Linked DNA regions of Mus musculus. The protein of the gene in region 1 interacts with the protein of each later gene in a biochemical or structural test. Links are inferred from orthologs where the notes say so. Each region holds a gene or a part of one and is shown in the gene's direction. Other genes may lie near its edges. The genes, in order: Trim25, Zc3hav1 and Ddx58.

Region 1 (10,820 bases):
CTGCACTGCCTGACCTAGATATCTTCATTAGTGTATAGAGCATTGTCTCTCAGGAGCACAGTAAGCTTGTGTTTCTCTGACATTTAGCATCCAGCACGCGTGTGGTAAATGTGGTAAAGGTTTGTGTCCACATGGTGGCACTCTCGAGAGGTGGAACCCTTTGAAGGCCTGAGTGTTACTCACGGAGGAAGGGTGTAGCTTCCTCTAGCCTTGAGTAGGCTGGCTTTGACCTAGCCACTGAGTATGAGACCACCTGGGGTGGAGCCTTCCAACTTATAAGGCTCTATTGTTCTGTCACCTGCTGCTGCTCTTCTCTAAGACACTGGTACCTGCTGGGAGGCCCTTGAGATATTCCGGAGACAGCATCCAGTAGATCTACCTACAGGCTGGCGACAGGCACCAAGAATGGATTGGCGGGGGATGGGCCTCCCCCCTTTATAAGCACAGACTTTTAGTAAACTTTGTGGGGGCCTTGAACAGAAACATGTCGTGGCCTCCATCATTTCTCTCGCCGTTTCCTTCCATACAGCTCCAGCCTCCCACTCAGGAATCCAGTTAGTGTGGCTGCAGGCAGCTACAGGTGGTTACAGGAGGGTACCCCATACTGACAGGCTTCCAGAGGCGTGGTGAGGTTTTGCTCGGCCAGGCATGCCTGCTACTATGTGCTTCTGCAGGACAGACTGGAAGGAAGGCGACCAATTGATCATAAAGTAGCACCCCAAAAAAGTCAGGGTTCACCCTTTCCTGTTACTCTGTCATCCCTGGTATTCATCATCATCATGAGATGCTGACTAACATAATCTCTGTAAAAAAAGAGCAATTCCTGACTGTGGTTATAACTCAATCTCGTGCTTGCCTAAAACACACAAAACCCTAGGTTTGATCCCCAACGTTACACAAATTGAGTGTGGTGGCACATGCCTATAGTTAGTACTTTGGAGGTGGAGGGGGAAGGGTCAGATGTTCAAGGTCATGCTCAGCTATATAGCATAGTCATTTTGGGCTGCAGGAGACCCCGTTTAAAAAAGGAAAAAAAAAAGAGGAAGAGGAAAAAGAAAGAAAAAAAGGAGGGTAAGCCTCCAGGATGGGTCATCAGATGAAGGCGATTGTAGCCAAGGCTGACAGCCTGAGTTCTGTCCACGGAATCCACATTGGAAAGGAATCGTCTTCCTCAGGTTCTCCTCTCACCTTTACATGGACACACACTCGCGAGCACACACAGACACACACACACAGACACACACACACACACACACACACAATTTAATTTGTTTGTTTGTTTGTTTTTCGAGACAGGGTTTCTCTGTGTATCCCTGGCTGTCCTGGAACTCACTTTGTAGACCAGGCTGGTCTCGAACTCAGAAATCGGCCTGCCTCTGCCTCCCAAGTGCTGGGATTAAACAAATACCACCATGCCCGGCACAATATAATTTTAAAAATGAAGCTGGGAGGTGGTGGCGCACGCCTTTAATCCCAGCACTTGGGAGGCAGAGGCAGGCGGATTTCTGAGTTCGAGGCCAGCCTGGTCTACAGAGTGAGTTCCAGGACAGCCAGGGCTATACAGAGAAGCCCTGTCTTGAAAAACCAAAATAAATAAATAAATGTTAAGAAAAATGAGCAAATCAAATCCAGCAATATATAAAATGATAATACACATGCCCTTTGGTTGTCCCAGGAGGTTGGGAGTACATTCCATTCATACAGTGGGGATGCTAGCCAAATAAGGCAGAAAAGCCCTCCGGATCAGTGCTGATTAAACCAACGAGAGTTTCTCCATCAAAACACGATCGTAGTATGGGAATAAAAAGAGAAGCTTCTTAGATGTCTTTACATTTATTTTATGGTTAGGAATAACCTTGGCAGAAGCCGGAGGAATTTGAGGTTAGTCTGGGCTATATAATGAGGATCTTTTTCAAAATCTGGAGACAGTAGGAGATTGTTTTTAAATGTTTCCAGGCATAGATATGACAGCACATTTAAAAACAACAACAACAACAACCAAACAAAATTAAAAAACAAAAAAACAAACAGCCTGAGCTAAGAGACCTAGATTCTGGGACCTTCTCCCATCTGGAGCTCAGGCTGAGTCTGTTACAAGCCTATTGCATAGTGGGTCTTTGGTCATTTGAGCCTACACACAGTAGGCCTCTGGCTCCCCCACCCCCACCCTTAACCTTTGATCTGCACACATTCCTGCACTAAGCTACATCCCCAGCCTCTCTGGCTCTCTCTCAGCTGAGGATCAGCATCCTTCACAAGGGTGTGTTGGAACTATAGCTCAAGTTTAATGAGGGCTGCCCCGATGGATGGGAATAATCGGTGTTATATTTACAGGTAAATGAGGCTTGTTCCTCCACCTACTTTTCCTATCCTCTAGACTCAGAGCAGGAATCCTATTATGATTGCCAGCCATCACCTGGATCAGGCCAGGTATTTAGTCCTCTCTTGACCAACCAGGTCCCATTTGGCTGTGCAACATTGCTGGACGGAAGATATCAGCTATATCAAAAAACAAACACACCCTGCCAGCCGATCCCTGGTCTCCCATCAGCGGATCCCAGTAAAGGTTATGGGCCATCCTGCGCATTACCACCTGCCATGTGTGTATATAAACTAAAAGGTGGGGGAGATGTGTGGGGCTCCGGGCTTCACAGATGAGAAACCCATGCCTCCCGGGACACTCTACTTCAATGATCTCTGTATTAGAAGGCAGATCTGTTTGCCTCAGACTCCTTCAGCTCTTGCTCTGTAGCACACCTACCGTGTAATAGGTCTTTGTGACTATCTCCCCCTTGGAATTTGATAAACACGGAGCGTGCTCGGCTCTCCAAATGATCGTCATTGTCCAACCAGCCTTTCTCAACGATTCAGCCTAGAAAGAGAATTCCACATTTCCCCTTGAGTCACCAGACTCCTCCACCCACGATAATTAGGTTAGAGGTGGATTCTATACTGTTCATTTCCTGGAAACTGTCTCCTCCCTCCCTTGGCAGGCAGACAGGCAGGCAGCATTTTGTAGTAGGAAATACTTGCCTTCTGGAACCAGATAGGGCGTGTGCCAGCATCCATTGTCTTGGCTGGATTGCTTGGCTTCTCTAAGCCTTTTTGTTTCTTTTTTCTCTGTAAAGTGGGATGGTTTTATCTACTTCACAGGTTGTGGTAAGGACTCCCAGCCTTCCACCCCAGCAGAATGTTTTCTTCTTTTTCCATGCAGACAACTACCACCACCAAAATACGAACCAGAATAGATGGGATGATAAGTCTTGTGGAAACAGAAGTCCATGTGATGAAACTTAGGGGAACCAGCGCTTAGGATGTTATGCTGGGCAGCCCCAAGCTCATCCCAGCTCCTTTGTAACAGTATCCTGACCTTCACAATAAAAATGGATGTAGGATGCCCCTCTTAGGGCTTCGTAAAGGTGTCTTGGTAATATTCTCCATTTGTTTGGCACACAGTAGGTGCCTCATAAACAATGGCTATTAGATACTATGAGATATTTACCTTGTCCTTTTGGCTGCTTAACATTGTCATCCAAGGTAAACTCCCATAATCCCTCAAGGAGCTTCTTTCCCACAGTGGAATTTCCCATCAGACACTCGGATTCTCCTGTCCACCCTTCTGTTCTGCACTCAGCCCAGATTGCAGGACTGCCTTACAGAACTAAAAACAATGTAAGCCTAAATGAATGATTTTGAAAAAAAAAAATTGAAGCTTCAATATTGTGTGTGAAGGGGGCTGTCGAGATGGCTCAGTGGTTAATAGCGCCAACTGCTCTTCTGAAGGTCCCAAGTTCAAATCCCAGCAACCACATGGTGGCTCACAACTATCCGTAATGAGATCTGGCGCCCTCTTCTGGAGTGTCTGAGGACAGCTACAGTGTACTTACATATAATAAATAAATAAATCTTTTTAAAAAAATTGTGTGTGAAGGCTGGAGAGATGACTCAGCAGTTAAGAGCACTGACTGCTCTTCCAGAGGTCCTGAGTTCAATTCCCAGCAACCACATGGTGGCTCACAACCATCCGTAATGGGATATAATACCCCTCTTATGGTTTGTCTGAAGACAGCTACAATGTACATAATATAAATAAATCTTTTTTTAAAAAATACTGTATGTGCACATATAAGAGAGAAAACATTTGTTAAATTTGGGAGTCCCCAAATCCCAAGTGAGTAAAAATTTCTCTTTTTTTTTTTTTCAGTATTGAAAATTGCTAGGCAAAGGACTTTACCACCAAGCTATATTCCCAGACCCTTATTACTTAAGTGAGGGTAGGGTGGGTTCTATGTAGCCCAGGCTGGCCTTGAATTTGAGTTCCTCCTGCTTCAGTCTCCCCAGAGAGAGTTCTGGGATAATAGGTGTGTCCCACCTCACCCAATTTAAAAGTATTATAACCAATCTGGCTTAGATGAAGAAATTCTTAAGAGACACTTGTGTCTCAATCTGTTACATTATTGAAACAGTGAACCCCAGAGAAATGGGAGTTTCCTTGGAATCTCATGCTGGGAGAGACCAGAGGGAGAATTTGTCTCCTGGGAAAAGATTTCACAGTTAGTACAGCTTGTGGGACAGAACAGCTTACCAAATGAGATTGAATCCCAGACAATGATGGGCCACTGGTAGGCTGGACCAGGTCTGGACTGGCACTTAGATACAAATATTTTTGCCTTCTGTTTTAACTCTGTTCTCACTTCAGAACGGGGAAGGTGGACTTGAGGGGTTTGCTGGGTCTCTTTTTTCTGTTTTCCTCTTTTAAGTAGGCTCATTTAATTGGCTTAAGGACCGGTGGCTGGAGCTGACTTGGGGCAAAAGTTGTGACACCCAACTTTTGTAATATTAGGTTTTGTTGTTGTTGTTTTAAAGATCATCTACCATAAAAGGAACACCAGATCTGAATGGATGACCATAGGGTCCTGCCTTTAGGGCTTGGGAGGAGATTTGTCAGAGCCCACCATCAGGAAAGAAGAGGGAGCTGCATACAAAGGCAGCACAGCTGGAGGGAAGGGGAAGGGAGGGGGAAGGGAAGGGGAAGGGAGGGGGAAGGGAAGGGGAAGGGAGGGGGAACGGAGCGGGAAGGGAAGGGGAAGACAGCCACAGTCCATAGAATTGTGTTTTGTTTCTTTTCTTTTCCTTAAATTATTATGTGTATGTTATTGGGGGAGGGGGGTGTCAATTTTGTGCAGTCTTAACCAGGGTTTTAGTAATTGTGTTTAGGTCTCATATTCTGTTGTACAGCCATCTCCCCAACCCTATTTTTAGATGTTGAGACGGCCACTAACTCTCTAGCCCGGTCTGACATCGAACTCACGGCAATCCTGTTGCCTCAGCCTCCTAAGTGACTAAATTACGGGCACGAGCCACCAAGCTCTGGGTCAACAGTATTTTGTTCTGTTTGGCTTTGAGTTTTAATAAGACCGGTCCTGTTCTGGAGGGATGATTGGTGACACCTCGGGGACACAGATGAATGTTCTCCAAAGCTCTGCTGCACTGTGCTAGGACGTAGGCCCCGACCAGGAGGGTGGGAATATTCCAGCCCCTGCGACAATTCATCTGCAGAGTGCCTCTGAAACTGCACCTGGTAGCCCTTGGGTCGTGCGTCGCTCGGGTCCGCGGGGTGTGGAGAGCATCAGAGTTCCCCAGGTCCCATAATCACCTTTGGCTTCCAGCACCAGGAGGGAAGCCTCCCGCCCACTGTCCGGCCCCCAGGGACCCACGTGACTTCCTGAAGCCCCAGGGCGCCGCCCCTCCTGTTCAGTTTCGATTCCTTCCTCGCTGCTTCTTAAGTACCGCGCGGTAGGGTGCGCAGCTGTCCCTGCGCGTCACGTCGGGTGAGCCCACGAGCGCGATGGCGGAGCTGAATCCTCTGGCCGAGGAGCTGTCCTGCTCCGTCTGCCTGGAGCTCTTCAAGGAACCTGTCACCACTCCGTGCGGCCACAATTTCTGCATGTCATGCCTGGATGAGACGTGGGTCGTCCAGGGCCCGCCGTACCGATGCCCGCAATGTCGCAAAGTGTACCAGGTGCGCCCGCAGCTGCAAAAGAACACGGTAATGTGCGCGGTGGTGGAGCAGTTCCTGCAGGCCGAGCAGGCGCGGACCCCGGTGGACGACTGGACGCCTCCTGCCCGCTTCTCCGCCTCCAGCGCAGCCACCCAGGTGGCCTGCGACCACTGCCTGACGGAGATCGCAGTGAAGACGTGCCTCGTGTGCATGGCCTCTTTCTGCCAGGAGCACTTGAGGCCTCACTTCGACAGTCCGGCCTTCCAGGATCACCCCCTACAGTCGCCCATTCGTGACCTTCTGCGCCGCAAATGTACCCAGCACAACCGCCTTCGGGAATTGTTTTGTCCCGAGCATGGCGAGTGCATCTGCCATATCTGCTTGGTAGAGCACAAGACCTGCTCCCCTACGACCCTAAGTCAAGCCAGCGCCGACCTGGAGGTAGGGAGTGGCTGGTTGAGGGTATAGAGGACAGCTTGGATCAGCTGAATTGTGGAGAGGCCATCCTGGGTATCCCTGTAGTACAGTGGGTTGCTAGAGGAGATAGGCTTTGCTGGGCCAGAGATCCCATTCCTTCACAGACCTCATGGCCTTAGGCTCCGTGGGCCGCAGTCTGGGAGTTGGGCAGTAGGAAGCCATCCCCACAGACCAAACAAGTAGATTTTATATAGCCTCCCGCTCATCCATTATCGCCTGCCTTCTCCAGCCCTCTTAGTTCTATTTTACATAGAGCACAACGGAAGGCACAGGTAAGAGTGCCTGCCCCAAGTCTGTGTTTGTCCAGTGGAGTTCAGTAGTTTTGAATATTAACCAGGAACCCTGGGGGTTACCTCTCCAACCCCTTCAGATCCTGGCAGCACGAAAGGGCTGTGTCTGTTTAGTTCATTCCACAGCTCAGGGCTGTGTCTGTTTAGTTCAGGAAAACAGGCCCAGAGAAATTAGCTTAGCAGGAACCAGGCTGCTTTGAGTCACAGCTTCTGGTTTCCTTTTTCCCTGTAGACCACAGATCTGTTGAGTCCAGAGCATGGAGCAGTCTTGGAAGCTTGAGGTTAAGGGTAACAGAAGCCTCTGTTGAGGAGGGTGTGAATGGATAGTGAGTGTGAACACAGAGCCTCAGAAATCCCTGCTTGTGACTTTGGCACTGTGGTATAGCCCTTTTTTGGTTGTTTTTAAGACTGTCTCACTATGTAGTCTTAGCTGTTCTGGAGCTTGCTATATTGACCAGGCTGGCTTTGAACTCATGGAGACCTGCCTGCCTCTGCCTCCCAAGTGCTGAGACTAAACGCACGCGCTCAGTTGGTGTAGTCCATCTTGCTGTGTGAAAATTGAGCAGGGCCTGGCGTGGTGGCGCATGCCTTTGATCCCAGCACTCGGGAGGCAGAGGCAGGTGGATTTCTGAGTTCGAGGCTAGCCTGGTCTACAGAGTGAGTTCCAGGACAGCTGAAGCTATATAGAGAAACCCTGTCTCGAAAAACCAAAAAAAAAAAAAAAAGAAAGAAAGAAAAGAAAAAAGAAATTGAGCAGGAATTGGGCCTCTGGACCTGGGTCCGCCTTGCTAAAGACTGGAAGCGTGTGTCAGGGAGTCAGGGTTCCTAATGGCCTTGTGGGGTTGCAATGATTTTAGTGGCTTTAGAGGTCCCCCCCCCATTACAGACTCAAAGCAGTTGTTGCCTCTCTTCGGTACATTTGTCAAAGTGTGATCTGATCTCCTTTCTCTCTCAAACGTCTGAGAACTTGAGGCCTGTCCCAACATTGTGGAAGGAATTGGAAACCTGGGTGAGGTTGGCAAGCCTTGCTGTGTGGTGCCAAGATCTCAGCTCCGCTCCCTCCTCCTGCCACAGCCCTTCCCTGGCCTTGCCTGCCTGTCTGGGTCTTAGTCAGGTCCCTTAGAATGTCTTCCCTCTGATTCTTGGCACCTGTATCTACAGGTAACATCTTTAGAGTTCTCTTCAGTATACCCCATGTGGGTACGGGGTACGGATACCTCCAAGTCTAGCTGTTCTGGGAGAAAGTCTGCCCCGCCTTTGGTGCTTTTGTCTTTGCTACCACCAGAGCTAGCTGTTTGGCTTGGGGCAAGACCCTACAGATCTCTGGGTAGGTCAAGAGCCACCAGGGAAGTGCCGCAGAGGCAGGATCCGGTGTCAGGAGGCTTGGCACTTAAGAGGTCCCTCCCAGATTCAGTGCCAAGATCTTGGTTTAAATTGTGACCCCCAGCAGTAGCTTCCAGCTACAGAAGAATAAAATGGGGAACATGATGGTCTCCAGTTACAGTGAGGGCTGGTGAGATGGCTCAGTGGGTAAGAGCACCCGACTGCTCTTCCGAAGGTCTGGAGTTCAAATCCCAGCAACCACATGGTGGCTCACAACCATCTGTAACAAGATCTGACTCCCTCTTCTGGAGTGTCTGAAGACAGCTACAGTGTACTTACATATAATAAATAAATAAATCTTAAAAAAAAAAAAAAAAAAAGGCATGCTCCAGTTACAGTGAACCTTGGGTGAAGTGAAGCTGGTGTAGTGGCTCATGCCTGTAATTCCAGCCCTTGGGAGGCTTAGGCAGATAAATCATGAGTTTGAGGCCAGCTTGGACTACATCGTTTCAGGTCAGCTACAGGGTGAGACTCTTGTCTCAGAAAGACAACCACAAATAACCAGTGGCCAAGGAGGTGGCTTGGCTGGTAAAGGGACTTGTTACCAAGGCTCTGGCCTGAGTTTGATCTCTGGGACCAATGGTAAAAAGAGAACCAACTCCAGCAAGCTGGTCTTTGACTCGACAATCCGTATGCATGTGATCGTGTGTGTGTGTGTGTGTGTGTGTGTACGTGTACACACAACTAAATGAATGTAATAAAAGAAGCGAAAGTGGATAAGTCAACTCTCTGCAAGATTTCCATGTAAGTTACTACCTACCGGTTCTATTATTGGGCTTGGGCACCCTGGTCTGTGCTCTGGGGCAGCCCCAGGCAGGACAAAGTGTCCAGATTGGTCTCTGTCCCAGTCAAGTGGACTTGCCATCAATCCCTGTAGTAGTACCCTGCTGTATAAGTACATATTTACCAAGGCAGAAGTAAGTGGGGGCATGAGGGGCCTCCCCAGCCAGGAGTGAGCGGCCATTCCTGCTGACTTTTTAATCCCGATACCAGGATTCCTCCTGCCAACCTCCTGCCCATATGTTTTTCAACCCAGCTGCTGTTCTTCCTGTCTCAGTGCCAGACCCTGGCAAGCGTGCTCAGTCTTGAGTATCACGGCTACTAGTTTGGGGGTGCAGACTCAGGATTCCCCTCTCTCCCCCGTGGAGGACCCAGGTCCTTGGTCTGCCACAAGCTCTCCCAGGCTTCCCAGAGTTCTGTATCCTTGACCAGTCCTCAAGCTGCCTCTCTTTGATTTGGAGTGGGGTGCAGTGGACCCCCATCCACAATGAGGGGACTGTTATCTGTGTTTGCTTAATGGTGGATAACCTTTTTAGTGTGGAGGGCTCATAGTGCACTCAATTCTGGAATTGAGTCAGTTGCTAGCACCCGTATGTTTCTTCCAGCCCGGGAGGTAGTTCTGCCTGGATTTGCCCTTTGACCCAAATCTATCTCCGCCACTGTTGGAGACCTGAGGTGGGGGAAGGGTTGTGTCAAAGAGATTGAGCCAAACATCACTGATCTGGGCTTTCTGGCTACAGTTTGCGCAGCCTTGATCTCTGTATCCGGCCCTTAACGAGTGCCAGTGGATGGTGCAAATCCAGCCCCAAGGTTAGGTCCAGCTCTGATGGAGTAGAGGAAGCAGGAAAGTAGAAGAGAGAGCTACTGTGTGTTGAGCTGCTTCATTAGGGGAAGGAAATGCTATTATAATATTTTTTTTTTTGTAGAAATTCCTAGCACACACAGTTTGGTCACTTGTTTATAAATTTAGTACCATTGTTAGTAACCTGTGCCAGTTACTAACAATGTGGTCTTGGCTGAGTCGCCTGATTCCTCGACATCCTTCTGTCGTGTCTGAGTGATGTCTACTTTTCCGTGTTGCTCTAGAAGTAGTAGGTGTCAGGTGCTGGCAGAGTGTGTGAGCCCTTCATGACAGCCCTCATGACTGATGGTGGAGTGTCCCTTCTCATCTCTGTATGGCACCGATCTATCTTAGCAGGGACATAGGAAACTTGCTCCTGGAGGTGGCTGAGAGCCAGACAGTTTTGAATCAGTGTAGTTCTTTCAAGCCCCAGTGGCCAGCTTACCCTGATTCTCAGCCCTCAGTGGCCCTGGCCTGGGGTGGCCAAGTACAGTTGTGCATTTGTCCCTGCCTTGCTGGAGGTGACAAAGCCTCACCCAGCTTCCTTCCCCCTCCTGGAAGTCTCCCCTGGGGAGGACAGCCTTGGGTGTTGGGCTCCTTCGTTGGGTCCCCTTCTGGAAATGCCAAGGCTTTCTTAGTTCTCCAGCACCTTTGATATTTTGTCTACTTTCAAGGCTGTTTGCTGTGGTAGGGTGAGCGACCTCACCCTGCCGTTACAGAATCAGCTGTTCCAGATTGTTACGTCTCTGTGAGCTGGGCCACTTGCTGTCCCCCTTGCTTGGATTTCATGAGCTGTAAAATGAGTAGGAGAAAAAGAAATGTATTAGAATAGAAGCTGACATTTAGTATTGACAGATCCTCCAGGCAGGGCTCTGAGCACAGTCCTTGGTTAGTCTTCCTGATTGTCCCTGTAGCTGCTTAACCAAACCAGTGGTTTCTGTTCATGGCCAAAGAAAGAGACAGAAGACATATGGCTGGGAACAGGCTTTCAAACAAACAGGGTCATTTTGGTTCCAAGTCTTTTTTTTTTTTTTTTTTTTTTTTTGGT
Region 2 (10,075 bases), on another chromosome or scaffold:
TCCTTTCCTTTCCTTTCCTTTCCTTTCCTTTCCTTTCCTTTCCTTTCCTTCCCTTCCCTTCCCTTCCCTTCCCTTCCCTTCCCTTCCCTTCCCTTCCCTTCCCTTCCCTTCCCTTCCCTTTTCTTTTCTTTTCTTTCTTGTGTGTGTGTGTGATTTTTTTTCAAGACAGGGTTTCTCTGTGTAGCCCTGGCTGTCCTGGAATTCACTCTGTAGACCAGGCTGGCCTCGAACTCAGAAATCTGCCTGCCTCTGTCTCCCGAGTACTGGAATTAAAGGTGAGCACCACCACTGCCCAGCTTCTTTTTCTTTTTTTTTTTTTTTTTTTTAATATGGAGACAGAGGCATGCAGATCACCATGAGTTTGAAACCAGCCTGGTTGATTTTATCTGTATAGTGAGACCCTGTTGTTGTTTGTTGTTTAAAGTATATATTTGTGTATGTGCAATCAAACTGAGGTCACTGGGTTTGTTGGCAAACATTTACCATTACCCAGGATGTCATCTGGCTGGGCCAGTGGACCTCATAAAATTGTATTCTTTCTGTAGGATTGATTAGTCTGTGTTAATTACCAAAGGATACAGCATTTGATCTTTGCTGAGTGAAAGTTTAGTGAACTTTTCCTTTTTAATCTACTTCACACATGCTAAGCAGGTGGTCTACCACTGAAGTTGAACTCAGTCTTTTAGGCTGGCGTATGGAATGATGGATTTCAGTATGGTGTTTTCACATCTCCATGCCCTGCCGGTTTGTTCCCTTCTCCCAAGGCCCTTCCCTGCTCCCCTGCACCCTCTTGGTACCCTCCCCCTTTTTAAAAGATTTATTTTATGTATGTGAGTATGCTATTGCTCTCTTCAGACACACTAGAAGAGGGCATCAGATCCCATTTATGGTGGTTGTGAGCCACCATGTGGTTGCTGGGAATTGAACTCAGGACCTCTGGAAGAGCAGTCGGTGCTCTTAACTGCAGGGCCATCTCTCCAACTCAGTAAACCCTTTCTTCTTCCCAGTAATTCCTTCTGTGTCCTCTTTTCTTCTCCCCCTTTGCTTAGAACTCGAGATGCCTGCCGTCCCTCTCCCGGCCCTCTTTCTACCCCCATGCCGTGTGAATATGGCTGTCTTCTTTCTCATTTCCGCTGTGACGTGCAAACATTGACAGTTGTCCTCTGTCCTTCCAGGAACCTCTGCAAATATTCTCACGATGTTCTCTCGGAACAGAACTTCCAGGTCCTGAAGAATCATGAGCTCTCCGGGCTTAACCAAGAGGAGCTGGCGGTCCTCCTGGTCCAAAGCGACCCTTTCTTCATGCCTGAGGTAGGTCCTGGTTCTCACTTTAAACACCAGGCAAGAGTATTATGTGCAAGCCAGACGTGCTGGTGCACACCTTTAAACCCAGCACTCTTGGGAGGCAGAGGCAGGCAGATCTATATGAGTTTGAGGCTAGCCTTGTCTATGTAATAAGTTCCAGGCCAGCCAAGGCTACCTGGTGAGACCCTGTCTGAACAAATGAAAGAAGAATTTGGGTCCACATGGCTGCCAGGGATTCCACTGTGAACAAAGATGGCTTGAAGACGTGGCGGTAGCTGGACTGCCTGAGGCTTAACATCAGGGTAGCCTTGGAATTGAAGCTGGATGCCTGAAAGATGCAGGCACAGATTGTGTCACTGTGCCAGAGACTCCTACTGTAAATTCAGTGATAAAGAAAATATACTTTAAGCTTTTTACTCCTTGATAGCCTCATCAAGGACCAGTAGGCTACAGCCCAGAAGCCAAACCTAGTCCAGAAATAAAAGTCTAGTGGAACACAGCCGTGCAGATGAGTTTACAGGTTTTCTGTTTCTGTTTCCCCCTCCAGGGGTCAGGTGAGTAGTTGCAACAGAGACTGACTGGCCAGAAGAGCCTAAATTGTTGACTGTGGATTGTTACAGAAGTACGGTGCCTCTGGGTCCTGTGTGGATGCGGGCAGGCAGATATGCCGCAGGGTTGGGAAGAGGGTCCAACACCTTTTTGCAAGACTCATGTTAGTGAGTTACGAGCCCTGTTGTCTTCGGAATGTGGCTTTCATCTCTTAGTACAGGGATTTCTGTCACCACTTTTTAGTCAGTGGGATTGTAGAAGGGAAGTTGAAGCCAAGCAGTTTACCCTTTTGAAAACTGGACACTGTGTGTAGCACATCTGCTCACATCTCATTGGCCAGTGCTAATCACATGGTCATATTAGTTGAAAGTGGGGCTGAGAAATGTAGTTGCTGGCGGAGTGGCTGCCTGTCAAGGACTTCTATTACTAGAGGAAAGACAGATGATGGAAGATAATGAAGTCTTATTTGCATAGGCTTATAGAGTGGAGAGTCAGTTGATGTTGCTCAAAGGACCATGCATGACCCGAGAAAAGCCCTTGAGTGGAGAATCCCTGAGTGTACCCACAATACAAAGTCATTAGCAGTCTCACACAGAATGGGAGACTGAGCAGGAGCAACGCCGAAAGGGGCAGAAGACAGACAGGGAGGCAGAGCAATACAGGAAGAGATGGAAGGGTAGAAGAGATATGAAGCTGCCAAGAAGGTTGGAGTTCTGTTAGATAAGACAAGCTAGCCAATGGAGATTTCTTGAGGATTGACCATTTGGGGGCATTTAAAAACTCTGGCACAACAGGTGATTTTTGAGGTGTCCACTGAGCTCTGAAGGCAGGGCGTTGTGTAGCTTGAACACATAGAGATCCACCTGCCTCTGCCTTCCTAGTTGGGGTTAAAGGTATACCCCACCTCACCTGCTCTTTGTTTTATTAGAGACACGAGCACCCTATGTAGCCCAGGCTAGCCTCAAACAGACATACTTTCTCCACTTCTTGAGGGCTCATAGTAGTAGACACGTACTATTATGCTTGGTGTACCTGCTACTGGGAATTGAACCCAGGGCCTGTGTTACAAGCCAGCTCCTGGATTCCTCTATGTGTCCAGGTGATGCTCATGGTTCAGACACCTCACTTTAAGAACTGTGGTCTAGAATTAGATTCGGTAGCACTTATGCGCTGAAGTCTGGTTCTAGAGGCTCTGTCACTATTCCTGGGGTCAGCCTTTGTCTCTGCATCCAGACTCATTCCCAGTTCATACAGCCTATTGAACTAAACACCTTCATCTTTCAGCTGCCTGCAAGGTGAGGCTAATGACTAATCATTTTCTTCACCTAGTGGCTCAGACACCTGCCTCAGACTTCTTACTTTGCACAATACAGTCTTATACTTTGTCACGCCGCCTCCCAACAGATGTTAGGCAGGCAGACAGAACAAATATTTTCCTTCTGCTGTCGAAAAGGAAACAGAAACTAGAAGGTCACTGGGACCGGGAGGTTACCCAGCTGCTTCTAGGGCCTTGACTTTAAAGCAGTCTCTGTTAGCCCTGTAGCCACATGATCTGATTGCACCATCCCTGGATTTTACTCCAGCTCTGTAGAGCTATGTGTGCAGATGTGTTTGTTTAGAATACTGTAACTGGGGGCTGGAGAGATGGCTCAGCGGTTAAGAGCACTGACTGCTCTTCTAAAGGTCCCGAGTTCAAATCCCAGCAACCATGTGGTGGCTCACAACCATCCGTAATGAGACCTGATGCCCTCTTCTGGGTGTCTGAAGACAGCTACAGTGTGCTTATATATAATAAATAAATTAAAAAAAAAATAGAACACTGGAACCTTCCTAACACTGTGCCCCTTTAATGCAGTTCCTTGTGTTGTGGGTGACCCCCAACCATCAAATTATTTCATTGCTACATCATAACTGCACTTTTGCTGCTGTTATGAATCTTACCCTGCTATTTGACCCCCAAAGGGAGTCTAGATAGTGGGTAAGGATTTCCTTACTGAGTTGGTTATGGTGGTGTGTGCCTGCAATCCCAGCACTTGGGAGGTCAGGGAAGCAGGATTATGAGTTGAAATCTAGTCTGTGCTACATGAGTCCTCGTGTCCAAAACCTGAAAGCAAGGCTGAGCAGCACAGTGGTGCGCACCTTTCATTCTGGCTAACAAACAAAAACCAAGTGGGGAGGAGTGTGCACACCTTTATCCCAGTTCCTGGGAGGCAGAGGCAGGTGGATGTCTTCATAGGTCAAGGAAGGCTGGAGAGATGACTCAAAGGTTAAGAGGGCCTGAGTTCAAGTCCCAGCAACCACTTGTAGTCATCCATACGGTGATATGATGCCCTCTTCTGGCCTGCAGCCACACATGCAGGCAGAGCGCTGTAAGCATAATAAATAAATAAATAAATAAATAAATAAATAAATAAATAAATCTCTTTTTTTTTAAAAGAGTTCATCACCCTACTTCTTCCCTCTCTCCCACCCCTCACATACAAAATCATTTGAACAGGTCCTATTCTGGCTATCAGAGACAAATGACAAAATCCCAAAGTTGCAAATAACACACACACACTTTTTTTTCCTTTCAACGGTAGAGTAAGTTAAGATCCAAATTAGACTTCCTCTTTGGGGCTCCCTTATGATGTCCTGTGTACAGCTTGCCATGTGAGTTTGATTCTCCCAGGAATTATCAAATTCATCACTATTTTTCTCCTTTAAGTTTCCTTTCTTTTAAATGCAAGGTTTCTGCACTGCATTTGTGATCCTCTTTGCCTCGGCCTCCTGAACACTGGGTTACAGGTATGCACCATCATACGTGATATTGTCTGTTAATTCTTTCGACTCTTCTGTCCCCAAATAAGTCACCAGTTGAAGCCATCTCATCAGCCTTGGGTGTTGCGTGCATTGTTTCCCCCATGGCTCTCCTGGGTTGTTTTTTTTGGGGGGGGGGGCTGCACCCTTAACTGGTGGTGTGGCAGCCAGGTCCAGGTGTTCTTGCCTCATGGTTCTTTCTTTCTTCTCTAGATATGCAAGAGTTACAAAGGAGAGGGCCGCAAACAGATCTGCGGGCAGCCGCAGCCCTGCGAGAGACTCCACATCTGTGAGCACTTCACCCGGGGCAACTGCAGTTACCTCAACTGTCTCAGGTCTCATAACCTGATGGACAGGAAGGTGTTGGCCATCATGAGGGAGCATGGGCTGAGTTCTGATGTGGTCCAGAACATCCAGGATATCTGCAACAACAAACACACTCGGAGGAACCCCCCTAGCATGAGAGGTATGCCCTTTCCCTTTTAACTGTGTGAATTTGCAAATGTACAGAAACCACAGTGGGGCATAGTGACACACACCTTTCATCCTAGCACTCAGGAGGCAGAGGCAGGAGGATTTCTGAGTTCGAAGCCAGCCTGATCTACAGAGTGAGCTCTGGGACAGCCAGGGCTACACAGAGAAATCTCATCTCAAAAAACAAGCAAGCCAGCAAACACAAACAGAAGGAAAACTGCAAGAAATCTGCCTGTAAAATCTCAACTTCACTATCTGCATGCACCACTTTAATACAATTGAAACAATGATGTGTATGCAGTTTTACAAGTGGCTCTATCCCCTCATTTTAAAAGAGCTTATTATAGTCTGGTGGTGGTGGCACACACTTTTATATAACATACCGGCACTCAGGAGGCAGAGGCAGGTAGATCTCTGAGATGGACACCAGCTTGTTCTATGGAGCTAGTTCCAGGACATCCAGGGCTACAGAGAGAAACCCTGTCTTCAAAAAAAAAAAAAAAAAGTTTGCTTGGGGGTGGGACATGTGTGCATCAGTTAATTCCAGGGCTTTGGAGACAGAGGCTAGCCTCAGGAAACTCTAGCTTGTGTCAAGTTGACATAATAAGACTGGCCAGCATGACTGTATTACTTATTATTTTGTGTGTGTATATACAGCCATATGTGTGGAGGTCAGAGGTCAACTTCAGGAGCTCTCTTTCCCCAGACTAACCCCAAGTCATTCAGGCTTGGTGGCAGGCACTTTTATCCACTGAGCCATCTCACTGGCTCTTCTTGTCTAGTGGACGCAGTAGAAGCCAAGTTTATGAAGGGGGTAGAATCTCTGACTCTAGGATCTGCAGTGAAGCAATGAAAAGCTACGTCTCCTGGTACTTAGTCTACAGAAGACTTTGCCCCAGAATCTGTCATCATTACTCCTCACAGCGAAACTGTGATCAATGGCGGGTTTATTACTCATTAACTTCACCTAGGGTAAGGAAAGGAGTGTTATAAGTCCTAAGCAGCTTTAACTCATGCTTGGAAGACCAAACAGTACTGTGAAGATGAAATCAAAAGCCGTGCTTGTGACCCGAGCACAGGAATGCAGCTTCCACACCACAGTGCCCTGAACAGAGAGTGACTGTAGAGGTGGGTTTGTGAGCTCTTCACAGCGTGCGGGAGAGAGCTGCATATCATTGTTACTTCTAGTTAAGCTATGTAGTTAGACATCATGACGGGGGAGTAACTAAGCTAGCTCAGGCAGTCAACGGGTTCTCCAGGTCGGGAGTGAGGGTTAAAAAAGACAGTTAGACAACACTGTAGCATGACCCCAGCCAGTTCTGAGACTAAAGGCGAGTTTATTTTTTTCCAGTCTGCTTTTATATCATTCTGGGTACATACAAAGAATATGGTCAGTCCTTAAGGCGTAGACAAAGTAGTCAAGGAACAAGCAGGGCAAAAATCAAGGCAATAAACAGAGGTCACTGTGTCTAGGGGTTTATCAGGATGGTCCAGATCCAAAGAACACGTTCTTCATCTGTATTTGCCTTGAGCCTACTTCATTGTCCCAGCCTGATATCAAATTCCTACCAAACTCCTAGAAGCAGCCCCAAAAGCTCTCCACAGGGGAGCCTTGCTTTTGCCACAATACTGTTGTCCCCTTTCCTCTACCAGGATAATACACACATGTTCCTCATAAGCAAACAGACCCTACTGCACCTCCACCCCCAGCTTTCAAATGCCTTTCCACAACAGACGTCACCTACGTAGGTACCACGCCAGACTTCACACACTGGGTCACTCCTGTCTTCTCTGCTTCCCAGACTTTTCTAGAGAAAAGATGCTGCTTTATCAGCGTCTCCGGATTTTTTTTCTCCCTTCAATATATATACAATGTAGGGCAGGCTAGCCTAGAACTTGCTGTGTAGCCAAGGCTGGACTCCTGTCTTAGCATCCTAAGCACTGGGATTATAGGCATGATCCACCCCGTCTGCCTTCAATTTCAGCTTTTCATAAGTTTAGGCACTTGTGGTAAATATTTTGGTTTTTGGTTTTTGGTTTTTGGTTTTTCGAGACAGGGTTTCTCTGTATAGTCCTGGCTGTCCTGGAACTCACTCTGACCAGGCTGGCCTCGAACTCAGAAATTCGCCTGCCTCTGCCTCCCGAGTGCTGGGATTAAAGGCGTACGCCACCACGCCCGGTGTGGTAAATATTAATTGGGTGTTTCTACCCCACCTTAAGTCATTTAGTTTCCAAATACAAAGCCTTTATATTTATAATAATCCTTTAAAGCACGAGAGCTGGGCAGATATCAACGCTCTGTGCTATTTTGTCTATTTCCCTGTCAATAATCCTGAACTATCACTTGCCATGTTCCACCTGGGCTGCCTCTGCTCCATCAGGCCGTCCCTCGCGGCCATGTGCTCATGATCCACCTACCCCATGGTACCTTCTTCCTCCTCTCCCCTCTCCCCTCTCCCCTCTCCCCTCTCCCCTCTCCCCTCTCCCCTCTCCCTTCTCCCTTCTCTCCTTTCTCTTCTCAGTCTCTACTCAGAAGCCAAGCCTGGGAAGCTAAGCCCCGCCTACCTCTCTTCAGCCAAGCTGTAAGCATCTTTATTCAAACAATAGTTTCAAATTAAGGATTAAGGTTTTGCACAACAAAAGCTGGCATCTGTGAGAATTCCCTGTCTTGAGACAACTAGACCATTACAGTACATAGATAGCAACAGCCCTAGCCTCAAGAGGCGCTAAGGGAGCTAGAGGAAGAAGCCTGGAGAGTTTGTGGCTTAGACGAAGGCTTAGCTTGAACCTGCAGCCATTTACCATTTGGTTTCAGTGTTAGAAGTGCCTGTTCCAGAACCCAGATCGGAATGCGTGACGTCTCCATGAGTCGTGGACATGTTTCTCTCACTGGCTACATTTCAGCTGTCATTCGCTGTAGTAATGACCGTTAACTCAGAACTAGAGTCTGGAGACACCCCACCTGGGGTCTTGGGGACTGGAGGGCTCACTGAGTCCCAGGAGAGGCCAGAGGAGCTTTGGAGTCCTCCCTTGTCTGAGCCACCCACACGCTGCTGTTGTGGACTCTGCCAGGTTGCAGCTTCGTCCTAAGATTCGCAGCCACCACTTAGGAAACTCCTATGATAGAACTCAGCTACAGGGCTGGACAAGCAGAGAGAACATGGAGGTAGGAACTAACCCGAGCTTGAATTTTCTCTCTGGGTTTCTCTTTCCAGCTCCCCACCCACATCGCAGAGGCGGGGCACACAGGGACAGAAGCAAAAGCAGAGACCGCTTCCATCACAACAGTCTAGAGGTTCTCTCAACGGTCTCACCTCTGGGATCTGGTCCCCCTAGCCCAGATGTCACCGGCTGTAAGGATCCCCTGGAGGATGTGTCTGCAGATGTCACCCAGAAGTTCAAGTACCTGGGGACTCAGGACCGTGCACAGCTTTCCTCCGTCTCATCTAAGGCCGCTGGTGTCCGAGGACCCAGTCAAATGAGAGCAAGCCAGGAGTTTTTGGAGGATGGGGATCCAGATGGCTTGTTTTCTAGGAATCGTTCTGATTCGTCCACAAGTCGAACCTCTGCTGCTGGCTTTCCTCTCGTTGCGGCACAAAGAAATGAAGCTGGGGCCATGAAAATGGGCATGCCTTCAGGACACCACGTCGAGGTCAAGGGCAAGAACGAGGACATTGATCGCGTCCCGTTTTTAAATAGTTATATTGATGGGGTAACAATGGAAGAAGCAACAGTCTCAGGAATTCTAGGTAAAAGGGCCACAGACAACGGTCTGGAAGAAATGATACTATCTAGCAACCATCAGAAGAGTGTGGCTAAGACCCAGGATCCCCAGACCGCTGGCAGAATCACTGACAGTGGCCAAGACACGGCATTCCTGCATAGTAAATATGAAGAAAACCCAGCGTGGCCAGGTACATCTACCCATAACGGCCCAAATGGCTTTAGTCAAATTATGGATGAAACGCCTAATGTCTCTAAAAGTAGTCCCACTGGTTTTGGCATAAAATCAGCAGTCACTGGAGGAAAAGAAGCAGTCTATTCTGGAGTTCAGAGTCTGAGAAGCCATGTCCTGGCTATGCCTGGGGAGACCACTACTCCTGTACAGGGCAGCAATAGGCTGCCTCCGTCACCTCTGTCTTCTTCCACAAGCCACAGAGTTGCAGCCTCTGGGAGCCCTGGCAAGAGCTCCACCCATGCCTCTGTGAGCCCAGCCAGTGAGCCCTCGAGGATGATGATGATGATGTCAGACCCTGCTGAGTGTAAGTCGCCTAGGGGACTCCCTGGGCTTGAGTGCATAGGGAAAGACAAACACAACACCACGGCACTGAATCGCCTACCTGAGAACTGTAATCATTTCATACCCAGAAGTCTCCGGTGCCCTGGTGTCCATGATTCATAAAACAGAGGGGCTGAGCAGGCTCTCCAGAGCACCCCGAATCCAGGGAGGCACATGAATGTGGACCCCATGGACGACATCTTCTTCACTGTGAGGCCAGGGTCCTCACTTCTGGCATACACACATCCTCTTTTGTTTTGCAGATTCCCTATGCTACATCGTAAATCCTGTATCTCCTAGGATGGATGATCATGGCCTGAAGGAAATCTGTCTGGATCATCTGTACAGGGGCTGTCAGCAGGGTAAGTTGCAAATCTCCGTAGGATGCCTTTAGCCACTGTGGGTACTGCTGCTGTGAGCATGGCGCACGCCAGTACTTACTGGAGACCGTGCTGTTGCTTTTGAGTGATCTAATGAATTGGATCATAGGGTAAATAAATCTGTTTGATTTTTAGAGAAGATTTTTCCATTGTAGCTTAGCTATTTTTCTAACCCTTCCTCCTATACTCCCTCTTTCCTCTTGCTGTCTCTTGAGTCTTTTTTTAAAAAACTTTTATAATATCATATATATATAATATTATATAATTATATATGTATAGTGCAATTTTT
Region 3 (10,075 bases), on another chromosome or scaffold:
TTCTAAGGTCAAATACAAGGCCTCATATCTGTCCTTAGGACTTGACCCTGAAAGATAATGAATTTTAGGAGACCTAAACTGTTGGGTACCAAAAATGAGTATTACTCCCATTTTGGAAAATCATGAATAGCTGTATTAGTTGACTTTAACTACTGTGAGTAAATGCCCGAGGAAATAAAAAGCAGAAAAATGAGAGCCAAGAGGATCTGTAGCTTCTGCACCCGTGCGTGGTGAGGCAGGGCACCATGGCGGGAGCATGTGGGAAAAGCCGCACTTTCTGGTAGACAGGTGGCAAAGGGTGCCGGGCAGGGGCCCTGGACAAGATGCATTCTTCAAAGCACATCTCCAGTGACTCACTTCTCCCAGAGAGGGTACAGTTCTCAGTTGCTCCTTCTGTATGAACTCAATGTGCTGCCAGTGGTGACGCCAGGACTCGAAGGATGTGGTCACCAGGTCCCGCAGGGTGTGGTCACCTCTAAAGACTGTCACCAGCTGGTGTCCAAGCCTGCAACCTGTCAGCCTCATGGTCTGGCTCCCCAGACTGTCCAGTGACTGAGGCCATTTGCAGATGGTTTTCAGTTCCCTTGCCACTGATTTGAACAGGATTCCCATGATTTTGACTTCAAAGCATTTTTATGTTGGATTTGCTTAAGAAATCCCCATTTCTCTTTTCTTTTTCAGGTTACTGTGGACTTTGTGAAGCCATCGAAAGTTGGGACTTTCAAAAAATTGAAAAGTTAGAGGAACACAGATTACTTTTAAGACGTTTAGAACCAGAATTTAAGGCCACAGTTGATCCAAATGATATCCTTTCTGAACTATCCGAATGTTTGATTAATCAGGAATGTGAAGAAATCAGACAGGTAAACCAATGCCAGGTACTAAATTTGAAGAAAAATGCAGAGACATTGGAAATGCCCATTTTTCTGTCTTGTTTTAGGCCCAAGGATAATTGAAACCCATAAAAGCTCTCATCTAGCAGATATAATGACTAGAATAGAATTTTTAAAGTGAATGGGGTAATTTTTGTGCTAGACTATTAGAAAATTATTTAACCTATTTGCAGTTAAAGTTGCCCCCTTACTTTAAAAAAAATAGTGGTTTATGCATAATGCAAATCACACCAAACAGTGCAACAATTAAAAGGAAAAATATGTCAGGCTCTTGGGCATAGATACATTTATTACAGTCTCGCAGTCACTTAACTAGTGATGTGATGCCAGGCAGTTCTCTAAGCATCTGTGGGGTTTTTGTTGTTGTTGTTGTTGTTGTTTGTTTGTTTGTTTTTCATGTCTAAAGTAAGAAAATTTATCTTTTGTTTTTTGTTTTTTTGTTTTTTTAGATTTCTTTATTTTATTTTATTATATGTGAGTACACTGTAGCTGTCTTCAGACACTCCAGAAGAGGGCGTCAGATCTTGTTACGGATGGTTGTGAGCCACTATGTGGTTGCTGGGATTTGAACTCAGGACCTTCGGAAGAACAGTCGGTGCTCTCAACCCCTGAGCCATCTCTCCAGCCCCCTTTTGTTTTTGTTTTTGTTTTTGTTTTTGTTTTTTTGTTTGTTTGGTTTTTTTGTCGTTGTTGTTGTTTGTTTGTTTTGTTTTTTCGAGATAGGGTTTCTCTGTGTAGCCCTGGCTGTCCTGGAACTCACTCTGTAGACCAGGCTGGCCTTGAACTCAGAAATCCGCCTGCCTCTGCCTCCCGAGTACTGGGATTAAAGGCATGCACCACCACGCCCGACGAAAATGTACCTTATTAGCACTCTTTTAGGGCTAAATGAGAGGTCATGCACAAAATGTGTATGTCAGCTTGATGCATAGCAGTCTATGCACAATGCATTTCAGTTATCATTAGAAAGAAAAGTCATAGAACATCTGCTTAGAAAAGAGACCTGCTGCTGTGCTGTTAGGCATTTCCAAATGGCTCTGTGTGCCGATACATCCTTAGGGTGAATGGTTAGCGTCTGGGTTAACGCTTTTACCCCAGGATTGCTCTTGGTCAGGGATATAAGGATTCAGAAGATGAGAACATTTGCCTTGGCATATTGATAACACATTATAAAGGACAAAGGTGAAGAAAGGAATATCTTAAAAGCTAGTGCTGGACAGGGCAAAAAGATGATGCTAACTAAGCCCTACTCAACTATACTTCACAGTGATTTCAATCAGATACCGCTTCCACAAAAGCTTGCCAGAGGAAAGGCTGAGCTGCCTGATCAGTGTGCTGCATTTGTCTCCCCCAGATCCGAGACACTAAAGGGAGAATGGCAGGTGCGGAGAAGATGGCCGAATGTCTTATCAGATCCGACAAGGAAAACTGGCCAAAGGTCTTGCAACTTGCTTTGGAGAAAGACAACAGCAAGTTTAGTGAATTGTGGATTGTTGATAAAGGTGGGGTGCTCCAAGAAAGAACCCTGGACCCTGCTGCGCTCCTCCCAGTTCTCCCCACTTTACTTTCCATCAGAGGCGCTGTTCACTTCAGATACCAAAGGCTATATCCCTAGGATACAAGCAGTGGAAAGCTGAATTCTGGGAGGAAGGGAACTACATGGCATGGAATTAACCCGACCAGGTCAAAGAATCTAGGGAAGGCTTCCAGCCCCAATTTGTTATCAGAGAAATAGCTTGAGAATTCTAGACCTAAAGGTTCAAACTGCAAGACTTACCTCCCTATCAGAGCAGAGGCTGAGTGTTGGGGGTGATAGCTATGGACTGGTGCTCTTGCCCGGAAGCCATCTGGACTCCGACAGAGCAAGAGTAAACGAAGATTTTCTGTGTTTAAGCCAACCTCATTTGGCTTCCGGAAACTCACTTCTTGCTTTAAACAGACCTTGATAAATACCTGAGTTTCTAGTTTCCTTTCTCACCTAGATTTCCTTAGAACATAAATTATTCCAGAAACTCTCTACATCGTTGGTCAGAGATGGAATCCTGTCTCTTTAGTGTGCTCAGGAATGACGCCCCTGCGTTATTGGCGTGAGTTCCGGAGTGGGGAGGGGCTCCGGATGCAAACTGCTGAGAGCCCCGGGTTCCACACTTGGAGTCGCGTAGTTCCAGATGAAACTGGAATTCAATTGCCAAGTTGAGCTTCAAACTCAGAATAATCCTTGCAGTTGTTTTAAGCCGTCAAAGTGGGGCTCTCTAGATGGCTCAGTGGATAAGGTTCCTGCCACTGATCCTGAAGACCCAAATTCAACGTCCAGGGCCTACATGATAGAACCAATCCCCAAACAGTGTCCTCATCCCTCGGCACACTCACTGTGTCGTGTGTGACACACACAGTAAACAAATCCATTTCAAAAATAAATAAAATGTTAAGAAAGTGCAAGACCGTGATTGTAAGAGCTCAACGGAAATTTAGATGTTTAGTGTTAGTGTTAGGACTTTTTGGGACTTCCCCAACCAAAACCATAATCACATTGCGCATGCTTTTAATCCCAGCACTCAGGAGGCAGAGGCAGGTGGATTTCTGAGTTCGAGGCCAGCCTGGTCTACAGAGTGAGTTCCAGGACAGCCAGGGCTATACAGAGAAACCCTGCCTCGACCACCACCCCCTTCCAAAAAAAAAAAAAAAAGATTCTAAGCTGTAAGCTGTTATTTGTGTTTATGATTGTTTGCTTGCCTGTTTATCACAAAGGTTTCAAAAGGGCTGAAAGCAAGGCTGATGAGGATGATGGAGCGGAGGCGTCCAGCATCCAGATTTTCATTCAGGAAGAGCCAGAGTGTCAGAATCTCAGTCAGAATCCCGGGCCTCCTTCAGGTACCAAGCATCGTTTGCTCTCATCCATGATGGTGTCCCCCAGCACTTTGATGCCCTTTGAAAAAAAGTCTTTTTAAAGGATGATTAAGAAAAGAAAGAATTTGTGGGGCAATAGGGACTTCATAATTAGAATCCCTGCTCCTGTCTTCCATGGCCTCTGCATGGCCTTCAACCCTCCCCCTCCTCTCCCCTCCCCTCCCCCTCCCTCCAGTATGTATGCCTTCATCTGTACCGTGTTCCCAGAACTTCAGTGTCCATGACTTCTCAAAGCAGCCTTGCTCTCTAAAGAACACTTCTGCTCACTAAGCAATGGCTTTGAGAATCTGGGCTGACAGCTGGTTTTCCTCGGCTGTTTTTGATGATCTGTTCTTACTTTGTTCCAAGTGGCTTTGTTTTGAATTAGGCCATTCTTGCTGTCCTTTTTCTTGATAAAGTTTCCACGATTAAGAAAGAATTCATGGGGCTGGAGAGATAGATGGTTCAGCGTTTAAGAGCACCGACTGTTCTTTCAGAGATCCCGAGTTCAATTCCTAGCAACCACATAGTGACTCCAGCGTCTGGGTTAATGTTTTTACCCCATCTGTAATGGGCTCTGGTGTACTCTTCTGGTGTGTCAGAGGACAGCGACAATGTGTATATTCATATACATTAAATAATAAATAAATCTTCAAAGAGAAAAGAAGGAAGGAAGAAGTAACAGAGAGAGAGAGAGAGAGAGAGAGAGAGAGAGAGAGAGAGAGAGAGAGAGAGAGAACACACTTTGGCCAAGATCCCAAACCTCAAACAGGGGCATTGTTGCTAGAGTCAGAACTCATGTCCACTGAATGGCAGTTGCACCATGATTCCTTGTAGCATGAACCCTTCGATAACTTTGTCCCCTCTATATTACAGAAGCGTCTTCTAATAATTTACACAGCCCATTGAAACCAAGAAATTACCAACTGGAGCTTGCCCTGCCTGCCAAGAAAGGGAAAAATACAATAATATGTGCCCCTACTGGTAAGTCAGTTGCTGTCACTCACAGAACTCTCTGGCTTCGCTTTTTCTTCCCCCTTTGGGGGCTGTAAAAGGAGGAGTTTTCCCCGTGGCCCATGCTGCCCATGGGAGAGCTGGTCTAGCAGCTTAAGGAACCTGGACAGCGATAAGGAGGGAGATAAGTGTCTTCTTTAGTTTGCTTTTGGTTCTTGCTACCTGAGTGCACGTTACTTAGGAAGTAGCTTGGCACTTTTCAGCCATTGTTTAAACTGTCATTGTTAGTGCGGAGGAGGGATTATTAGTTTATTTGTATCCCAGTGGTCATAGAGAAGCCAAAATAAGTACCATTCTGGAAAAACAGCTAACACAGGTTATCTGTTGGTTTTTTTTTCTTTTCTTTTTTTTTCTTTTTTCTTCCCTACTAAAAGGTTGTGGAAAAACCTTTGTGTCGCTTCTTATATGTGAACACCATCTTAAAAAATTCCCATGTGGACAAAAAGGGAAAGTGGTCTTCTTCGCTAACCAAATTCCTGTCTATGAGCAGCAGGCAACTGTGTTCTCACGATATTTTGAAAGACTTGGGTATGTACTACTACAATCAATCTAACTGCTTTGATTTTTGGTTTTTGTTTTGTTTATGTTTGTATTTTAAATTCTAGCCCCTTTGGCTGGTTTTGGGGGCTTTGTTGTGTCTGGTTTTGGGGGCTTTGTTGTGTCTGGTTTTGGGGGCTTTGTTGTGTCTGGTTTTGGGGGCTTTGTTGTGTGTTTTCTGAGACAGTGTATCACGTAGCCTTGAGTTGTCTCCAACCCACTGTGTAGCTGAGGTTGGCCTAGAAGAGATGATCTTCTTGCTTCTACAAGTGCTGAGATTACAGTGTGCACTGGCATGCCTGGCTGTTCTCTGATTTTCTTTCTTTTTTTTTTTTTTAAGATTTATTTATTTATTATATGTAAGTACACTGTAGCTGTCTTCAGACACTCCAGAAGAGGGCATCAGATCTCATTATGGGTGGTTGTGAGCCACCATGTGGTTGCTGGGATTTGAACTTCGGACCTTCGGAAGAGCAGTCAGGTGCTCTTACCCACTGAGCCATCTCACCAGCCCTCTCTGATTTTCAAAGCTATGATTAAAGGAAAATCGCCATGGACTTAACTTTTAGAGGTAGTTCCTTTGTGCAATAACATTTTTGGTTTAACTTTACCAGAAATGCTAAGCCCTCATGTCATGCTCTGACAGTTAATGAACTTGGTGGCCAAATTTAACATGTAGGCGATACACAGGTCATCCTTAATGATGTTATACTTGATTGGCTATTACTCTTTTCAAAATCATTTCTCTCTTAATGACTTGAAAGAATAAATACACTGTGATCAGCTATAACCTCTTGCATTTCCTGACTCCCCGGCTTTGTGTCAGGCCTGTGAGAAAGTTCAAGGTACTACCCAGTTGTACTCTTTTGGGCTTGGGCTGACTTCTTTAATTGCTGCTCTGACCTAGACTTCTACTTTGTCTCCTTGTTCATTCACATCAAGGTTGATGATAAGGGATTTCTGTCATTCCCCAGGTACAACATTGCGAGCATTTCTGGGGCAACATCTGATAGCGTCTCAGTGCAGCACATCATTGAAGACAATGATATCATCATCCTGACACCCCAGATTCTTGTGAACAATCTCAACAACGGAGCCATCCCCTCGTTGTCTGTCTTCACTCTGATGATATTTGATGAGTGTCATAACACTAGCAAAAACCACCCATACAATCAGATCATGTTCAGATACCTAGACCACAAACTTGGAGAGTCACGGGACCCACTGCCTCAGGTATTTCCAATCTTCTAAGAAGAACCACAGTTTTTCAGAGTCCCACTTAGTTGCTCTTTTGTAGCCACATTTGAGCTTGCCCTCCTCGGGGTCTCAGTCCATCGGTACAACTCAGTGGTCAATGTTGGTTCATTCATTTGACCAACAGTTGTCCCTTGGTGTCCAGGGTAGATGCCCTTCACAAAAAACAAAATCTAGGCTGCTTAAGTCTCTTGTATGAGATGACATTGCATTTATATATAATCTACACACTTTCCTCTTGCATACTTTAAATCTTCTCTAGATTACTGATATTGTACAGTATGATGAAAATTTTATATAAATAGTTCTAGTACTGTAATTTTTAGGGAATAAAGGTGGGAAATTCATACATGTTTAGTACTTATGAAGTTTTAAAAAATATTTTTGATCCATGGTTGTATGAATTCACATTTATATAACCTCTGGATTTGGAGGGCCAGCTGTATAAACCATGGGCTTCCATGGACCTTGTGCATTGTTCTAGGCTCTGGGACACCAATACAGAAGATATAGTCCTGGCTCTCATACAGTTAAGTTTGCAGGGAGCCAGGAACATAGTAGTCACAGCTTATCATGAGGTATGCTGCAGAGACAGGTAAAGGGTGTTGTCAGAACATAAGGGGTAATAAGGCATAGAAATGAAGGGAACTGACAGGGGCTTGCCAGGTAGATAGCTTCTGGTTTCTAGTAAGAGGGTGCTGTGTGTCCAGGGGCTCAGGGAAATGGAAGGGCCTGACATGCCCCAGAACCTTAAAACTCTACAGTATCACTTGAGGGTAGAGTGTGAAGCAGGGAACAACAGTCAAGCTGATTGTTATGACAGATGACCCAGAGACACCAGGAGGGCAGAGCGTCAGTGGGCAAGTGGATGGCTTAGCACAGGGAACAAGCAGCAGCCTTCTGATGTCATATGAGAAGAGTCACTTCAGAGTCATTCTTACATGTGACAAGAGGAGTACAAATTCTCCTTCTGTCTATCATAGGAGAGGGGGTGCTTTGCTGAAAGTCAACGATATAGAAACAGGAGGGGGCTAGAGAGGATGAGGACGGTTTGACTCAGGCACTGATAGATGCAATAAAGAATGACGGTAGTGTATCTATCAGGGGCCCCAAGAAGCTGTAAACCATGAATTATATACAATTCTTTTGCTCCAACAATAACCTTTTTAGGACGTGCAGGTTAAAGGACATTTAGTACAGGACCCACAGTTTGTTATTCTCGAGTATCGTTGCTAGGAAGCAGATTTCTTACCGTCCAGCTAATCATTTAGGTGAATGCTTACTGAAGGGTGTTATCATACTGAATCTACACAGCTCTCTTGTACACGACTCACTGATTGTTGAAGGTATTTGTCCAGGCGCACAAAATGCATGTGATATGAATGAGCCTGGAATGGACTTTTTCTTCCCATTGTGATGTTTAGTAAGAGACTGGGGGATAAAAAAAACAGGGTAGCCCTGCCTGGAAAGGTTTCCTCTCTGTTCTGGATGACACGCTAGATTTATTTCCGAGCTTTGCTCCAGGGGGGTCTTTGTGCTGGAGAATGTCAGAGAGCCAGTGGTGGGGTGCTCCTTACAGGTCGTTGGGCTGACTGCCTCCGTCGGCGTTGGAGATGCTAAGACCGCGGAGGAAGCCATGCAACATATCTGTAAACTCTGTGCCGCCCTGGATGCCTCCGTGATTGCCACAGTCAGAGACAACGTTGCAGAACTGGAACAGGTCGTTTATAAGCCCCAGAAAAGTAAGTGGAGGTCAGCAGCCCACACCTCGCGACTTTGTAACCTTCTGTCCCCTCTGCGTCAGAGACAGTGGATGAAGTTTGATGCTGTATTTGTTTGGTAAAAGCATAGTGGTTACATTGCCTATCTTTCTCCCTAGTCAACCTCTTCTCCCTAGCGACGCATGAGTCTCAAAGGTAGCCAGAAAGGGACAAACATCCCTACTCTTTACCAGCAGCTGAGTGAAGGAGGCAGTGGGAAGATTCAAGCATTTTGAAAGCCTCAATAGCTAGTGGCGGAATCAGGTCTCTGTGCTCCGGGCCCTAGGCAGGGGCTATGTGGCCATCTTGTTCTTGTATGTATCTGATCATTGTAGTGGCATGACCCGAATCATGACAGTTCAAAAGGCCAGAACATGTTTTTAAAATGAGCTTCATTAGAAGATGGTTATTACTTATTAACTACCTGTGTAAGCAGGGAGGTACCGTAGTTACCCACGGCTGGATCTTGGCCTGAGCACTCGTTCTGTGAGTTGACAGCAGGATCAATGGCAGGGTCAATGGCAGGATGAGCAATGGGGGGGTGGGGGTTGGGATGGCACAACCCTGGTTCTTTCTGAGAGTCCCCCGTGGAGAGTGTGAAGAAGGTGCCTCCCCACCCACGCCCACCCCTTAGCAACACTCAAGGGTTTTTCTACAGTTTGAGCCCTTGGAGCTTAGTCTACTTCAAAGTCATTTTGTGTCACTTTCTCCGTCTATGCAAACCCTCTACGAGCTATTCTGAGGGTGTGTCCCAGCTCCTGCGCGCCTTCCTTTTTCCCTTATTATTCATCTTGCGGCAGCTTCCCCGGAGAGAATGAGGTTTCCTCCCCTCTTTGAGAGATGCCTTCCTGGCCTGCACCTGCTTCCCAGGGCTCTGATGGGCGGGTTTAGGAGCACACCTTTGTTTCCTTTAAGGAGTGGGTGGGTTGGGGAGCAGGGGGAGGGGGGAGGGAGGGGATAGGGGGTTTTTGGAGGGGAAACCAGGAAAGGGAATAACATTTGAAATGTAAATAACGAAAATATCTTTAAAGAAAAGAAAAGAAAAGGAAAGAAAGAAAGAACCTGCCTTCTGTGCAGCATAGGGTAGCTCTTGTCAGCTCTCTGTCACTGAAACAGGACATGTGACAGGCAGTTCTTTTTCTGCCAAAAGTACACAAATGTGAACGATAAGCTCAATGGGGGCACTCTTGGGGGCTCGGAGGTGCGCAGGAGAATAGGAAATCAGGAAAACGGGGCTGGAGTATGGTATTTGCCGAAACCAGAAGGCTGCCAGACCTGCCACAGTAGAGGCACCAGGAAAGCTGACTGAGACGCTGGCTTAGACTAGACCAGGAGAGACACTAGAATCAGAAGCAGTTCCGAGGTCAGAGGCTTCTGACCGCCTGCTGTGATTTGGGCCACGTGAGCTTGGAGCCTGTGGCTTTAAAGGACTTACCCAGGATGGAGCAGCTTCGGGAAATGGCTGCATAGGACCTGGGTTTCCTTCAGCTTACTCACATGCCTTTGACCCCAGTTTCCAGGAAAGTGGCATCCCGGACTTCGAACACGTTTAAATGCATCATCTCTCAGCTGATGAAGGAGACAGAGAAGCTAGCCAAGGATGTCTCCGAGGAACTTGGTAAGCCTGTGCCAAGTCCTGGAGAGAGAAATCTCATGTTTCCTGTCCCTTCCATTTAGAGGTACTCATGGATTGCTCGTTAGTGTCTTCAGTTTTGGGTGAGATTATACTCAGAG

What was found.
Region 2: of the proteins of Trim25 (region 1) and Zc3hav1, one has a biochemical effect on the other in vitro, tested with the Homo sapiens proteins (2 studies listed by BioGRID). The link is inferred for Mus musculus from reciprocal best matches to the Homo sapiens genes TRIM25 and ZC3HAV1.
Region 3: of the proteins of Trim25 (region 1) and Ddx58, one has a biochemical effect on the other in vitro, tested with the Homo sapiens proteins (5 studies listed by BioGRID, with this or other methods). The link is inferred for Mus musculus from reciprocal best matches to the Homo sapiens genes TRIM25 and RIGI.

Annotation. Positions count from the first base shown.
Region 1 is NC_000077.6:88,993,641-89,004,460, forward strand, and holds the start of Trim25 (E3 ubiquitin/ISG15 ligase TRIM25), read left to right. Parts: upstream 1-5,762; 5' UTR 5,763-5,848; coding exon 5,849-6,442; intron 6,443-10,820.
Region 2 is NC_000072.6:38,331,456-38,341,530, reverse strand, and holds part of Zc3hav1 (zinc finger CCCH-type antiviral protein 1), read left to right. Parts: intron 1-1,175; coding exon 1,176-1,311; intron 1,312-4,866; coding exon 4,867-5,119; intron 5,120-8,342; coding exon 8,343-9,389; intron 9,390-9,669; coding exon 9,670-9,768; intron 9,769-10,075.
Region 3 is NC_000070.6:40,220,283-40,230,357, reverse strand, and holds part of Ddx58 (antiviral innate immune response receptor RIG-I), read left to right. Parts: intron 1-681; coding exon 682-863; intron 864-2,244; coding exon 2,245-2,392; intron 2,393-3,638; coding exon 3,639-3,761; intron 3,762-4,652; coding exon 4,653-4,760; intron 4,761-5,164; coding exon 5,165-5,318; intron 5,319-6,301; coding exon 6,302-6,560; intron 6,561-8,160; coding exon 8,161-8,323; intron 8,324-9,854; coding exon 9,855-9,959; intron 9,960-10,075.